Elephas maximus indicus: one gene and its partner. The protein of the gene in region 1 purifies or fractionates together with the protein of each later gene. This does not show direct contact. Links are inferred from orthologs where the notes say so. Each region holds a gene or a part of one and is shown on either strand. Other genes may lie near its edges.

What was found. The genes of interacting proteins can lie anywhere in the genome.
Region 2: the proteins of SART3 (region 1) and LSM8 purify together in Homo sapiens (affinity purification with mass spectrometry; 4 studies listed by BioGRID and IntAct, counting the BioPlex papers as one, with this or other methods). This does not show direct contact. The link is inferred for Elephas maximus indicus from reciprocal best matches to the Homo sapiens genes SART3 and LSM8.

What each region holds. Positions count from the first base shown.
Region 1 is NC_064840.1:19,108,997-19,116,986, reverse strand, and holds the start of SART3 (squamous cell carcinoma antigen recognized by T-cells 3), read left to right. Parts: upstream 1-4,070; 5' UTR 4,071-4,081; coding exon 4,082-4,408; intron 4,409-7,990. Other genes in the region: iron-sulfur cluster assembly enzyme ISCU, read right to left, coding at 319-432, 2,162-2,275. UniProt on the Homo sapiens protein: U6 snRNP-binding protein that functions as a recycling factor of the splicing machinery. Promotes the initial reassembly of U4 and U6 snRNPs following their ejection from the spliceosome during its maturation.
Region 2 is NC_064826.1:31,452,107-31,460,096, reverse strand, and holds the start of LSM8 (LSM8 homolog, U6 small nuclear RNA associated), read left to right. Parts: upstream 1-3,348; 5' UTR 3,349-3,459; coding exon 3,460-3,490; intron 3,491-4,620; coding exon 4,621-4,661; intron 4,662-7,860; coding exon 7,861-7,988; intron 7,989-7,990. UniProt on the Homo sapiens protein: Plays a role in pre-mRNA splicing as component of the U4/U6-U5 tri-snRNP complex that is involved in spliceosome assembly, and as component of the precatalytic spliceosome (spliceosome B complex).

The DNA of each region.
Region 1 (7,990 bases):
AAGTTGCTGTTGTTGTCAGTTGCTGTGCAGTGGGGTCAAACTCATGGCCACCTTATGTATAAGAGAATGAAGTATTGCCCGGTCCTGTGCTACCTTCAGAAACCCTGGGGGCGTAGTGGTTAAGTGCTATGGCTGCTAACCAAAGGGTCGGCAGTTTGAATCCACCAGGCGCTCCTCGGAAACTCTATGGGGCGGTTCTACTCTGTCCTGTAGGGTCGCCATGAGTCGGAATCGACTGGACGGCACTGGGTTTGGTTTGGTGCTATCTTCAAAGGGGTTACTGCTACCACCGTGAGAGACGAAGAAAACCCGTCCTACCTGTAATTTCATTACATCACCACAAGCTGGAGCCCCTACCAGTCCAGTTCCGACATTTTTAGACGTCTTGTCGAGGGACCCCACATTTCTAGGATTTTCATAATGATCAACAACCTGAAATGAGAAGGGTAAGAGAAATCAAGACCACTCTCTTTTTGGTACCGGTCCCCTCAACTTGACTGTCAGCTCCTCCAAGTCAGTGACCGAATCTTACCAGCCCATGTTCTCTGAGCCTGGCATAGGGCCTGCAACCGGAAGCTGGCAGGCAATCAGCAAACACCAAGAGTCACCTGGGGAGAAAGGCCTACATTCGTGTCAGTGAGAACCATTTGTTATCCAAAACCTTTTTGTATCTCCTCTCCAACTACCTTCAGACACTGTTTGAGATCCTGGAGAAAAATCAGCTAAATTATGTCTTAGTCCCAGGAGGTTTTTAGTCACAAACCAAGTCACGAGACTTGGGCTCACACAGCATTTCTATTATTTCCAAATAAAGTCAATTTTCAAAAGATAATGATCTAAAAAAAAAAAAGGTTACTATAAACAAATTCTTAAAATAATTACGAAAGCATTCCCAGAAGGTTCAAGATGACTCTTGTCGAAAGAAGAATGCTATGGAATGTGGCCATCTATGTACGATTTTTTAAAAAATAAAGTCTCATTACTGTATTTCATGGCCCTGAAATAACACTGGTTCAGCAGCGCGCCCTAGTGGCTGAAAGGCTGCTAGCCCAAGTTCAGTCACCATGGGCTGTCAACAAAACCTCTCCCTGGGTCTAGGAGAGTGCCCTAGCCCTTGACAAACGTGGTGAAGCCAGAACAGTATAAATACCCATTCAGTCCGACACAGTAGGCTTTAGTAATCTTGAGGCTTGTTTCCCAGCTAGCACAGCAGTAACTATCCTGATCTTCCAGTCTCCTCCCCTTTGCCTATACAACCACTGATTTTGACTCTAAGCCCAAGGACCCACAAGATAAAATCCACTCTGGACTTCTGCCCCATGTTGATTTCCAGCGATCTTTAGTTGTTTCCCGAGCAGAAGAGTCTCATCTTTAGGGGACGTTAAGCTTCCAGAAGGCAAGGGCTGCAATCTACGCACGCACACCACCCCCCAACAGAAAAAAACAAAGACAAGGACATTGTGACTGATTGTTGGTCATGTGCCTGACTCCACTACGAGGCTATGGGCTCCACAAGCAGATAGATCTTGGTCATCGCTGTGAGGTCCGCCATAGCGCTTGAGATCATTTTATTAAAATACTAATAGCAGCAGCATCATCGATGGTCTCCGTGTGTTGGGCCTATGTGCCAGGTACCATGCAGAGAACTCTACACGCATTCTCTCTTGTAGGAAGGGACTGCTAAGATTCCCAACTTACAAATGAAAAGAATGAGGTCCAGCGAGGGGCAGTGACTTGCCCAAGGTCACTTAGCCAGGGCAGTGGCCTGGCTGAAGAGGAGCTCGTGCCCTAGCGTCAGGCTGACAAGTCATAACAGGTCCAAGAACTCAGAAGAGTCCTGTTAGGGAAGTTTAAGGGCTGTGACGCACAAAATAGCAACGAGCAGTAAGGCCCTTTGGAAGTCGCCACTCGACAAGCAGCGGCTATTACTTTTATTTCCATTGCGAAACGAGAGAAAGTTAGTTGAGGCAAAGGTGTGGGAGGAGACAGTCCCTCCACCCAGGGCCGGGGGATCCCCGGACCTCGGGCTGCAGGAAGCTCCAGGCCGCGCAGTCCCCCGGTCGCCGGCCCCAACCCGATCCTCCCCCACGCCTCCGGACACCTTCGTCTCCTCGGCGATCCTCGCCCGTTCGTCCCCCGCGCACCCTATGCTTGCCCCTACCTTCTTGTGATAAAGCCGGGCCGGGGCCGACAGCTCCCGGGGTGGCAGGCGAGGACTCCGGAGCAGCAGGGCCGACGCCGCCCGGCGCAGCCGACCCGCTCCAGCCGCCGCCATCTTGCGGGGTCGCGCCTGCGCCAGCCAAGAGCGAGGCCGGGGGCGTGGCTCGCCCTGCAGCGAGCGACGGGCTTCGCTTAGGGCGCGCCCCCTCTTACGTCACCGCGCCTTCGCGCCTGCGCCCTTCGGCCCCGTGCGGTTCGTGCTTTGTCCCCACCTTGACCACACCTCTCCGGGGGCTGGCGGGGCTGGGAGCGGGAAGGTCCAAGTACCACGAAAGCGAGTCCTAGGTGCTGCGTTCTGGATGGGAAAGGACCTAAAGCTGGGGTGAGGGACCCGACTTAATGCAGCACACAAGGTCACCCAGTCCGCTCTCTCATCCTTTTTTGCAGCTAAGGACGCTGAGGTTCGAGCGGTTTAATAACTTGTCTGAGGTCGCTTAGAGTTAGGTACAATTGGGATTCGAACAACCCTGGGTTAGAGTCCTGATTTTGCCCCTTCCTGGTTGTCACCCTGGAAACCCTGGTGGCGTAGTGGTTAAGTGCTACGGATGCTAATCAAAGGGCCGGCAGTTCGAATCCACCAGGCGCTCTTCGGTTCTGCTCTGTCTTATAGGGTCCCTATGAGTCAGAATCGACTCGACGGCACTGGGTCTGGTTTTTTTGGTTTTTGGTTGTCACCCTAGACGAATGACATCAGCTCTCTAAGCGTCTCTTTTTTTTTTTTTTTTTTGCATTAATTCAAATAAAATTGTTTCGCCCATTCAGCAAATATGTATTGAGCACCTCCTACTTGTCAAGGCGTTATACTAGTCTCTGGCGAGCCAACGAAAAGCAAAACAAATGTAATTTCTGTCCCAACTAAGCTTACTAACGAGGGAGAAAGGCAATAAAGAAACAATAGTTTCCTAGCTCAAAAATGGGAGTTTAAGGAGGAAATGAACACCATGCCCTGAATTAAAAAAGTATATACCTATTTAAAAATATTCTTTATCTATTTCTCTCTATACAACAGTAAACTATCAAAATTTATATGGTAATACTTGACAGTTAAGAGTTTCTAAATAAATGCTTAGGAAATAATTCATATTGATTTGCAGAATATCTTATAAAACCGGAAAACTCATGTGTGCGTTTAACACCTACTAGGCACCGGTCCTATCAGGTGCCAGCCGGAAACCCTGGTGGTGTAGTGGCTAAGTGCTATCTATGGCTGCTAACCATAAGGTCTGCAGTTCGAATCCACCAGGTGTTCTTCGGGAACTTTATGGGGCAGTTCTATTCTGTCCTCTAGGGTCGCTGTGAGTCAGAATCCACTCGGTAAAGGGCTTGGTTTTGGATTAGGCACCAGTCCTTACATAATGAGAGGAATCTCTTTGGGAAATGAATTTTTCTCATAAATAGCGCAATCGATCCTTCTCCAAGGACTTGGAGTTTTCACTACGTTTGTGTCTCGGTTGCTGAGGTGACTGAACCACGCGCCAGGTCACAAGAGGCATTAATGCATATATTCGAGGAGTCCCTTTGACCTTCTCAAAATGGCGTCAAAACCTTAACTACAGTCATCACGCTCATTTCATGACTTCCTCTATGCCCTCCACTTCCTGCCCAAAGACCCAACTTCTGTCCGAAGTTGTGGCGGAATATATGCCATGTTAAAGAATTGTTTTTCTGACAGGATCTTTTACAAATATGTAAAGTTAATATGAATGGCGTGTATTTAGAGATTTTCCCATCATCCGAAGCTCGCAGTTTCCCATTCGGTGGCCAGAGGGCGGGGTTTTGATCAGGCGTGCGCCGCGGGCAGCTTGTACTTCAGCCAGTCTTCGGCGGCGGAACGAAGGACCCAAGTCACTGGAGACTCAAGATGGCGACGGCAGCTGCATCCTCCGCTTCAGAGCCGGAGGCTGAGCCCAAGACTGCGCCCAAAGTTGGGCCCAAGGCCGAGGGAGACGAGGATGAGCTTAAGGAAACCAGGACGAGGAGGAAGGTGTTATCGCGGGCTGTGGCTGCTGCGTCGTACAAGACGGTGGGGCCAGCGTGGGATCCGCAGGAGGAAGGCGTGAGTGAGAGCGATGGAGATGAAGAGTACGCCATGGCTTCTTCAGCGGAGAGCTCCCCGGGGGAGTACGAGTGGGAGTACGACGAAGAGGAGGAGAAAAACCAGCTGGAGATCGAGCGGCTGGAGGAGCAGGTGGGCGCCGGGGTGGGCAGCGGGCTCCCTCCGCCTCCAGGCCCTAGCCCGCTCCTCTGCCCCTTGGAGCAGAGATGCTGCCCTGATCCTCAGCGGCAGTAAAGCCTCCAAGGCCGCAGAACCGTTACTTAACATTGCAATTTCCATTATTTGAGCGCTCGCTGCGTGCCCAGCGCTTTGCAAGCATTATTCCATTGAATACTCGCAGCGAACCAGTGAAGGCAGTAGCGTTGTCCCCGTTTCGTGGGAGGACACTGAGGCTCGTGGAGGGGAGTCTCTGGCTCAAGATTACACGTTCTGCAAGTAGCGAGTCAGGCTTTGAGCTTCGAACCGACTCCAGGACTCCCACTAACCACACAGTTAAACTACATCTAGCAGTAAAGTAAATTTTAATTGTAAGAGCACTATTTGTCTGTAGGAATGACGACGATGATGAAATATGTTGTAGTCGAATAAATATTGATCCGACGATGAAAATAGGAATGGAAAGATAGAGGCTACTCAGTTGGAGGCTCAAACCCCCGTTGTAGCTGTTCCACACCTGTATGTGCTTGGGCGAATTTCCTAAATTCTCTGATCCTTTGCTTTCTCATTTGTAAATTAAGAGCAGTGTTCTTGCATCATAAAATGGTCATAACAGTAATGTTAGCCCTGTGCCTAGCACCCACGAGGAACATGACCTCTAATGTGTAAAACAACCTTGTGAGATGTAGGTGGTGGTATCTTTTGGATAAGCCAGGATCCCAGCAGGAAATAGATGGTGCATTCAAATTAGGATAATTTAAGAAAAGGTTCATAAAGGGACTACTGTGTTTGTAAAGGCAAGTAAGAAGCAAAGGTTTAGTATTCCACAGTTGGTAACAACAGGACTTGGTGTCCACCTTTAGGCCTGAAGTAGTGTGAATAGTTGTGTGGGGTTGGCATCTGAGAGGAGCTGAGACCTTTGGTCAAAGGGTGCAGCCAGCGGTTTCCCAGTAGGGGAAGGAAGCAAGTGGAAGAAGAAAAACTCTTTTTATCTCCCTCACTTCCTCCAGATCTCTGCTAGTCTCCCACTGAGCAAACCCAACTGAAGGCCAGAGAGCCCAGTTGATGTGGATCACACAGGAAGGCACAGGGCAGGGAGGGGAGAGGAGGGTGGTGTGGAGTTGGAGGGGCAAACTGAAGAGATTGAGCACATTCTCATTTTACAGATGAGGAAAGGAAAGAGGCTCAGAACAAAAGATGAAATGATTTGCCTAGAGTCACTCACAGTGGGATTTGAACTCTTAAAGGTTGCCTGTGGACCAGATGCCACGTTGCATGTCCTGCTGGCACTGTTTTTAAGTTATGAGATAACGTCATGCGTTGGTATAACTTGTTGCATTTGTCATAGAATCTGATTTTTGAAGGAACCAGTTGGGATAGACAGGTGGTTACCATTTTTCTTTTATAAGTAAGTATGCTGAAGTTCATTCAGTCTTTTATTCATTCAGCAAGTACGGTGTGATACCTGCCAGACTGACTGTGTCCCTGTCTGTATGGAAATCAGTTCTTCATATTTCTAGCCTTAGGTCTTTTGATGAGCCATTAGCTCACTTTGACCTTAATGTTTTATGAGGTAGGGAAACTAGAATCATCTGTTTTAGTAGGAAGAGGAGGCTTGGAACCAGAGAGATGAAGTCCTTAATGAAAGTACATAGTTTACTTACTAAGGAGAAGGAGGCGACAGGATGGAGGTCGGCATGAAGGTCTCCTGGCTACTATACAATTGCCTGTCCTGCCTCGGGTCACCGAGGATGGGTGGGATAGAGCTCAGAAGGTGACCACATAGGATGGGACCTGGCAAGCGATGGTGAGCTGAAGGACTTCTGGCCTTATCCTCTTTGTCCTGAGGTCTAGAAATTGACTTTTCCAATTTTTCCAGACCTCCTTCCTAACCTCCTCCTAACCCCGCAGTCTGTAGTTCCTGCTGTAACTGTCCTTATGATGGAGCGTAACGATAAGTAACTTTCCAACAGGCCTGTGGAAACCTGGCCCTGCCATTTTTGGAAGCTCGGAACACATCCACATGTGTTTATTTCCTTCTTTTTGCTTGTTTAGGATTGTTTTGTTCTTTTCTAGTTTCTCGATGCAGGAACCTAGATTATTGATTGAGACCTCCCCTCTTTCCTAGAATGAGCATTTAAGTCTATAAATTTCCGTCTCAGCGCTGCTTTAGTTGCATCCCACTTGTCTTGCTGTGTTCTGTTTTCATGTCCATTCAGTTCTAAATATTTTTTAAAAAACATTTCTTTGAGACTTCGTGTTTGATCCATATTGTTTAGAAGTGTATTCTTAATTCCAAATGTTTAGAGGTTTTTCTGTTGGCTTTGCAATTGATACCTAGTTTGATTCTCTTGTGGTCAGAAAGCATACTCTGTATGATTTCAGTTTTTTTAGATTTGTTGAGGTTTCTGTTTCGGCCCAAGAGAGGGTAAATGTTCCGTGGAGACTTGAGAAGGTATGTTGTGCTACCGTTGGCTGAGGTGTTGTGTGTGTGTCAGTTAGGTCCTGTCGGTCGATGATATTGTTGAGCTCTCCTGTGTCCTCGATGGTTTCCTTTATAGTAGTTGTGTCAGTTGCCAGGAGTCCCTGGGTGGTGTAAACAGTCAATGTGCTTGGCCGCTAACTAAAACGTGGGAGGTTGGAGTCCACCCAGAGGGGCCTTGGGGGAAAGCCCTGGCGAGCTACTTCCAAAAAATCAGTCATTGAAAATCCCGTGGAGCAGAGTTCTACCCTGACACACGTGGGGTTGCCATGGATTGCAGTCAGCTCGGTGGCAGTTGGTGCTGGAATCGCTTGCTGAGAGGAGGGTGTCGAAGTCTTCAGATATGATTGTGAGTGTGTTTATTTCTCCTCTCAGCTCTGTCGGTTTTTGCTTCATGTATTTTGAAGCTCTGTGGCTCTGTTGTGTACGGTCGCCATTGGTTTTTTTTTGGTTGGCGCATACATGTTTAGGATCGATGGGTCTTTTTGGTGAGTTGATCCTTTTATTATTATGTAAGGTTTCTTTTTGTCTCTAGTAATTTTCTTTGCTCTGAAGTCCACTCTATGTAATATTAATATAGCCGTTTCTGCTTTTTTTGGATTAGTATTTGCTTGGTGTATCTTTTTCTATGCTTTTTTTCAACCTACCTATATCGTTGGATTCGAAGTGAGTTTCTTCTGATTAGCGTGTAGTTGGGTCATGTTTTTTATCCACTTTACCGTTCTCTGCCTTTTAATTAGTGTGTTTAGACCATCTACATTTCAGGTAATATCCAAATGTCAGGCCTTAAACCATTTTATTTGTTTTCTATTTATTTCCCCTGTTTCTCATTCTTTTTTTCTTTTCTTGCCTTCCTGTGCATTATGTCAACATTTTTTAGGCTTCCATCTTGATTCATTTATAGTACCTCTGAAGTTTTTACTTTGTATAGTTTTTTGGGTGTTACAGTATATATATTTCACTTACCACAATCTGCTGGCGTCAACCACTTCGAGTGAGGTACAGAAACCCAACTTGGCTTTGGATCCCTTTACCTTCCCCATTTTTAAATATCATTGTCTGCGTATCAGATGATC
Region 2 (7,990 bases), on another chromosome or scaffold:
CAGGGGTCCCACTGGTGGGGGGAGTGAAGACCGGGGAAGTGGCTCCCAGGCTGCACAGTATAGCCTGGCTAGAGAGGGTATAAATATCACACAGCAGCAGGTATTCAGGAGACAGGAAAAGAATGTAAGTATAGACAGACGGGAACTGAGAAATGAAGACAGACAGAAATGGAAAAAGAGACAAAAAAAGAAAAGAAATGCCCCCAGGGATTCCACCTCTGCGGCTGTGTAGACTGAGAGAGTGGCTCCTAATCTCTGCAGTGCAGCTTGGCTAGATGGGGCTCCCAAGCTGTGAAAGGAAAAAGAAAATAAAAACAAAACAGAACACGGAAAAACAAAACAAGAAAAAAAAAATGCAGCCCCAGGGATCCCAACAGCACAGTGTTATGGGCCAAGGGAGTGGTTCCCCAGTTGAGCAGGGCTTCACAGCCTTTCAAGAAAAGCAAAGATGGCACACACAGCCAGGTGCTTGAGAGAAACCAGGGGTAGGTGGTGGGAGGCATGGAAGACACCAAAAGAAATGGAAAGAAGGAACAAGAGCTCAGGGGGCTGGCCACTGTGGGCGGGGGGAATCCATGCGGCCCAGGGCCAAAGCAGTTGCCTCCTGCCAAAAAACTGCGCCTGGGAGTAAGGGGGCGGGGGGAGCGGGGGAAGGGTGGGCGTTAGGAAAGCGTATGTTGTTTGTTACCGGGTACTCTGTCTCCTGCTGGGAACTTCGTGAAGATGCTTTCTCATACTCCCTGCCCACGGATCTCTGATAAAGGTGGGGTGAACCCAAGTGGCCCGGATGCGGCACTCCCCAGCCAGCCAAGCCACCGCAGCCAGCCAGGAAGCTTGGAGGTAGGGCAGTGGGGAGAGGATGTGGGGGTGGGAAAGAGTGTATCGCTGGTTATCGGGTTTTCTGTCTGCTGCTAGGAGCTCTGTGAAGCTGCACTGCCGTACTGCCTGTCCGGCAATCCCTGACAGGAGTCCAAGATGGCGGATCTGTGCTGTGTTAGCTGATAGGGAACCTTCCAGGTATCTCTCCTCAGTTTCTTATTCCATTCGGTGTTTGGCTGAGTTCTTTATGTCTTCATTTGACACTTCAGGTTCCAGCAATGATGTCTGTCTCTGTTTTACTTAGTTTTTTGGGTCTTTGTTGTGGGGAGGGGTGGCCTGGTGCTTCTACCTATGGTGCCATGTTGGCTGCAAGTCAAGAGTGATGCATAAGGCTAATTTAGATAAAATATTTATGTACTGTTTGCATCTACATATAACTCATTTGTAAAGTCTCAATAAATGGGCATTTCTTTACCCATAGGCTTTCTCTCCACATGTATGATCATAGGGAGCTACAGAAAATGTAGCAGTTACAAGACACGTGTAAAAAATTTTCAGATAAATTTCCTGATGCTCCATAAACATGGCACATCTGTTATTTATCTGGCATATTAATTTAGTGAAAACTGCACAAGATCATAGACTTAAAATGTAATGTGTTTATGATTAAATTAATTCTATAAATTACTATATGGTGTTAATAAATGTCAAAACATAAGCAACACTCCAGGGGATGAGAAGTTCCATGCATTATTCATTTTAAAAAGGTGGGATATAGTTTATTTTTTAAAAACTCCTTAATCATACTTCAATAACTAGTAGTTCTTCATTTTTCTTTTAATTTGATGCCTAACATTTGCAAATCACACAATATCTTCATTTTTTATTTATGGATGATACATTTTTCCCCCCTAGAAAATACAGGAATATTCACTACGTAATTCCTGACTGTATGTGGTTTCAAACAGGTCAGAGTAAGTTTCAGTTTATAAAATATTAACCATTGGGGAGTGATTTGTAGGTAAGTTTGTGGGTATGCTCTAATGAAAACAGATGCTTGACTTTTCAGAGGAAAATTGCTCATTTCGCAAGAGTTATTTCACATTTATACTTCTTCAGTTAAGAAATCACAAGCCTAACTGAAATCAAAAAGATATTTTGTGAAAAGGGGAAAGAGCTCCCACTGGTGTTTTGTGTATTGATCCTTTTCTAATTTCAAGCCCTTCTGAGAGCACCACAGTATAATAAAATGGAAAGAATTATGTTTCCCATTATCATCCTGAAATATTCAAAATGAAAGCTGTGGAAGGATCTAACATCATTACTTTATAGTGTTACTATATAGTGTTAAGGAGCCCCTGGTTGCGCAGTGGTTAAGCGCTTGGCTGCAGAATTACTGCTCTGTGGAAGAAAGATGTGGCAGTGTGCAAATGTGGAAGGAACTCACCAGCCTCGGATGATGATGTGGCAGTCTGTAGATGTGGCAGTCGGCTTCCGTAGGATTTACAGCATTGGAAGCCCTATGACACAGTTCTACTCTGTCCTACAGGGCAGCTACGAGTTGGAACTGACTCCACGGCAGTTAGTCTTTATGTAGTGTTAATAAACATTTTCAAAACATAAGCACATTTCAAGGGATGAAAAGCTCCATGCATTATTCATTTTAAAAGGTGGCGCATGGTATATTTTTGAAAAACTATTTAATAATGATACCTCATAATGATGAGGAAACAGGTCCAGAAGAGCTGAAGTGACTTGTATAAGGACACACAATTCAGTAGCAGAGCCAGGACTAGAACCCAATTTGGTGCACATTTATAATATACCTCTTTTCTTGACTAGTCTTCATTGGTGGTGCGGACTTGCCTTTTATTTAGTCATTTTATCCTGAGGACAGGGAGACCTCCTGGCTTGCTAGAAGCTTAAACATTTATTTCCTAGGAGTTGCTCACACACGTTCACTTGTTTGGATTCAGTTTGTTAAAGTGAATCACGATGCCTCCAATGGAGTTCTTAGAGGCACATGGAGAATATGTGAACATGCTTTTTCTTATCGTCTTCTCCAGAGATGTACAACATTATGGCTCCAACGTGTGCAACTTTTTCTTGGTCCATTTATCTTTTTTTATATTTCATTTTAAGTCCGTGCTGCAGAAATCAGCTAGGGATCCCAATTCCCCGTACCCCTATTTCTTAAGACAACAGCACTTACCTATCTTCTTCATTTACACTCAAAACATCGTATTTCGTTCTCTCCCGCCTTTCCTGTCTTTTCTAATAGTTTTTCCTAGTAACTTCTACCACACTACCTTTCACTCCTGACTCCCTCTTACCCCGCCTACAGGCACCTGCCTTTTTTCCGCCTCCTGTTTGCTTTTGTCTCCCGTGGCTTCCGGGATCGCCGCCCGGAAGAACCACGGAAACACACTGCGCACGCGCACCAGTTCGTCACAGCTCCTGCTCTCTGATATGCGGCCCAGTTTCTGTCAATTTCTGACCCACGGCAAATACGGCGCCAGCAACTCTCGCGATATTTGCTGCCGTCAGTGGGCGCGAGCCGCGGCCAGTTGGTGGCGGGCATTTTTGGCTTCTGCTGTTGCTGGAGCTGCCGTGTAGCCCGGAGTTCCTGGGCCAGACATCATGACGTCCGCTTTGGAGAACTACATTAACCGTATCCTCCGGAGGCCGCCGCGGCGAGGCACGTGTCCGCACCGGAGTGGTGTCGGGGCTTGAGAGGCCGGGGTTCGGGATTCCTGGTGGGTTGGGACGCCTGGCTACTACGGGGCCCCGGGTGCCGGTGAGGGGGATAAGGACCCGCGACCAGCCAGTCTTGCGCTGGGGCTCGAGCCCGCCGCTCCTGCCTCGAGTCCGAGGTGTGTTTTAATTCCGGCCTAAAGTAAAGTAAATCCAGTGTAATTATCCTGAACTTTTCTCTGCCTCTATAGAATTCCGCTATTGATTCAGCCTTATTATTCCCCCAGGGCCCACACGTTCAAGTTTCAAATAAGGTGAGCGGTTGTCATAGTGGCGACGAGGGTCTTGTAAATCTGTGCACTTGTTTTATTGACAGGCATGCTCATTGTTGAGATAGCAGAAGTTTAAAGATGGTCCATAAATTGAATTTCTGCTGCTTTACCACTTGAAGGCTCATCTTCCTTGTTGCTAGGATGGAAACAATGCTTGCTTTTTCAATGAATTGTCCTCATGGTCCGAAACTCGTAAAGAACCAGATACAAATGTTACTGTTTTAATGTCTCAGGACAGAAACAGCACATCGTGTATTCATGCACAAATTGTGAACAGAAGTTAAATACTGAAGGCTTTTAATGATGCAAGCCTATTGGTGTCTTATGACATTGGTTATAGTATCCTTTGTATTCCAGAAACCTGGAAGACAGTGTCTTAACATGCTTGAAATTGACTGATTTAGCAGCCATACAATTTTTATTCTACAAATGAAGAAATAGGGCTAAGAAAGTGGGGAATGTCTTGTTCAAAATTGAAATTTCCCAGTAAAAGCGAATACCAAATACCCCAGCTGTTTTGAGATGCTTATCACATAGAAAAAGGAATTTTCTTTTTCTGTTACTTTTGTGTGTGTGTGTGTGTAGTTATCTCGAAGACAGGATTGAAAAAAAGCTACAGATTTTAAGTCCTTAATGTTGTGTATTTAATGGCCATGTTGAATAGTTATTTTTAATTCTGTCGCCCTTTTCTTAGTAATTGGAACTGTGCGTTTACCAGATTCTAAGTTTTCGGTTAGCATTTCCTAAGAAATGCTTTCCTTGATTCAGTTATCAGGAACTGTTGCTGTTATTACATCCGATGGGAGAATGATTGTGGTAAGTATGCAGCATTTTCATTCTCTGCCTTGTAAACTATTGGTAGTAAAATAATTTTTATGTGGAACCTCTGACATCTAATGTGTAGGAACCAGAGTATACCTGCATTGCACTTTTCTTATGATCTAACTCTTTGCCCTGATGTCTTTGATAAATAGCTGCTCATCTGTATTTTTTTTCCGTTAATAAACATCGAGTGCGCATTACCTACTAGCTTCTACTAGGACCTAGGATGAATCGATTCTTCCCATCAGGGAGCTTCTAGTCTAGTATGCAGATGTCTATATGTATCTTATGGTCACATATTTGTCTTGTTCTTCGATATTTTATTTCCTTCCCGTTCAGAGCTTGGACAGCTGCCATGTGAATCAAAAGTTTTTTGAAATTTTGTGTATACTTAGAAGTTGTTCTTTTTATGACTTAGATACTACATATATACAGCATAATGAACATTTAAGGCTTGTTTGTGTAGCCTATAACTATTCCTAGGTTATATAACCTATTTTCTGTAGGACGATATATGACTGACTATTTCATCTTATTTATGCTTTTGTCACAATATTGTTGTTAGGTGCTGTGGAGTTGATTTTTGACTCATAGTGACCCCATGTGACAGAGCAGAAGTGCCCATAGGGTTTAATCTTCATGGAATCTTTATGAAAGCAGGCCACCAGGTCTTTTCTCCTACAGAGCGGCTGGGTGGGTTAGGACAGCCAACCTTTCAGTTAGCAGCCAAGCACTTAACTGTTGTGGCACCAGGGTTCCTTTTTGTCACAATAACCTCTTTTCATTCTAGAAAAATCTTGGATTCTCTCCTTGATCTGATTCTGGAAAACATTCCTCAGTTGCTAATTTAACTCGTATAACAAAGCTATAACTTTCTTATGGCTGATGTTGATTTTTGGAATTTGATTTGAGGAATTTATCCCATGATACTTGGCTACTTAATTATTTTATCTTCATTTATAATTGATACTGTGTTTGCTTTCAAAAAGGTTGTAAGTCTGCTAACCTTTCTCCAAGGAGCCCTGGTGGCACAGTGGTTAAGTGCTTGCCTGCTAACTGAAAGGTTGGTGGTTCAAACCCACCAGCCACTCCATGGGAGAAGGATGTGGCAGTCTGCTACCGTAAAGATTACAGCCTTGGAAATCTTATGGGGCAGTTCTACTCTGCCCTATAGGGTCTGTATGAGTCGGAATCTACTAGACTGCAACAGGTTTGGGTTTGGTGTAACCTTTTCTCTATTTTCTAACCTTTTCTAATTTACTTCATATAATTTAACCCCTTATTTTCTTGTTCTGCGGTCTCATTTTTGTTTCTGTGTTTAATCCATATGATTTTTTCTCAGTGGGTCATTAAGTGACTATCACTAGTCAAAGTGCTAGACTTCACCACTTATTAAATGTGTATTATGTTCCAGGCACTTTACATAGGTTATGTTATTTAATCTTCAGTACAACCCTGTGAAGAATTATTGCTGCTTTATGCTAGGTTAGGAACCAAGCTAAGAAAAGGTAAGTTAGTTTCCCAGAGTCACATAGATAATAAGTGGTAGAACCAAACTGGGATTTAAGTTTAGTCTGACTCCAAAGTCAAGGACAGTTGGCATATTTTCTTTACCAAGGGAACAATCCTGGTTTTCTTAGGCATGCTGTATTGTATATTTTGTCAAATAAAGGCCATTTGAAGTATTTTAATCTCATCATTGCCCTTCAGGAAACCTATTGCAATTAACAAATATTTGCAATTAATTTTTTATTTTATGAAAACCTCAAGTTTAAGTGTTTCTAATTTTGTTAACAGAGTAGACAATAAATTGGAAAATTATTTTCATTTTATAAAAGGAAAGCTATAAAGAGCATCTTGAGTACTAAATTTCAGTAGTCCTGTATTTAACACATGGTTTTACTTGATGGAATAATTAAATGTAAAACCAAACCAAGAAGTTATGTATGGGTATTTGTGATATTTTTGATAACACCTATTTGCCAACTAAACCAGAAAATGCAAACCCGTTGCCATCGAGTGGATTCTGACTCAGCGACAGTATAGAACTACCCCTTAGGATTTGTAAGGAGCTGCTGGTGGATTTAAGGGTGAACTGCCGACCTTTTGGTTAGCAGCCGAGCTGTTAAGAACTGCTGTGCCACCAGGGCTCCATTCTCTAGTATAGTTCAATACTCCATATTTTGTTTCTCTTCCATATTCTAGGTTATCATTTTCTCTTTATTTCATTTTGATTTTATGTATTTTGATTTTCAGAACATGAAACAGTTGAATAGTGAAACTTGAATAGCATGTGAATTACTCTGTTGTCCAAGGCCCTTGTCTTCCCCTGTTCACAATCAGCCTTTTTCCATAAAACTTTTCCCTGTTATTTCCATCAAGTTCTGGTGCTTATCATTATAGTCATATTAGAATTTACCTTACTTGGTTATTGGGAGAATTATAAGGTAAATACATGTGAGGCACATAGAACACTCTGGGATATAGTAAGTATTCATTTACCATCAGTTGTAGTTTGTGTATATTTATGGGAGTGATTTGAATCTCTAAAAAACGGGAAATTATATTTGCATGTTTATAGCAGTATAATGGTTCAGCAATCTTCCTAGTAGCTTTGCTACGTACTCCCCATAAGACCTTGAGAGATTACTTAACCTCTCTGTGCCTCAGTTTTCTTTCTCTGAAATGGGGATAATTATATCTACCTCAAAGGGTAGAGATTAGCTGAGATAGTGAACACAATGTGTTTAGCCCAGGGCCTAGTACAGAGCATACAGTGATGTTGTTACTCTGCTGTAGCTGGTATATGTGAGACCCTCATTTATAAATCCTTTGCCCTTAAATTTTACTTGTTGTAGTGTGTGTCCTTAGAAAGTTAGCTCCTGGACTACATGGGCATTTACTCTACTTCTTTGAGATGATCACACTGGTACGTAGTATCCTTAGTAACTCTCAGTAGCTCTGCTTATCAGTCATATGTGTGGTGGTGTTTTTTTCCCCCTCTCTTAACAACCAAGAGGTGTGTTTTATGCCCTGTTGGCTATAAAAAAGATATGTTATTTTACAGTGGGTATATATTTAAAATGGATACTTCTGTTGGGTTGCCTGACAACTAAAATGGTTGTATGGTTGAATTTTGTACATTTAAATAAATCAGATTTTTTTTTTTTTCTTTTGGCTGTTTTCTTCATAGGGAACTCTGAAAGGTTTTGACCAAACCATTAATTTGATTTTGGATGAAAGTCATGAACGAGTATTCAGCTCTTCACAGGGAGTAGAACAAGTGGTATTAGGATTATACATCGTAAGAGGTGACAATGTGT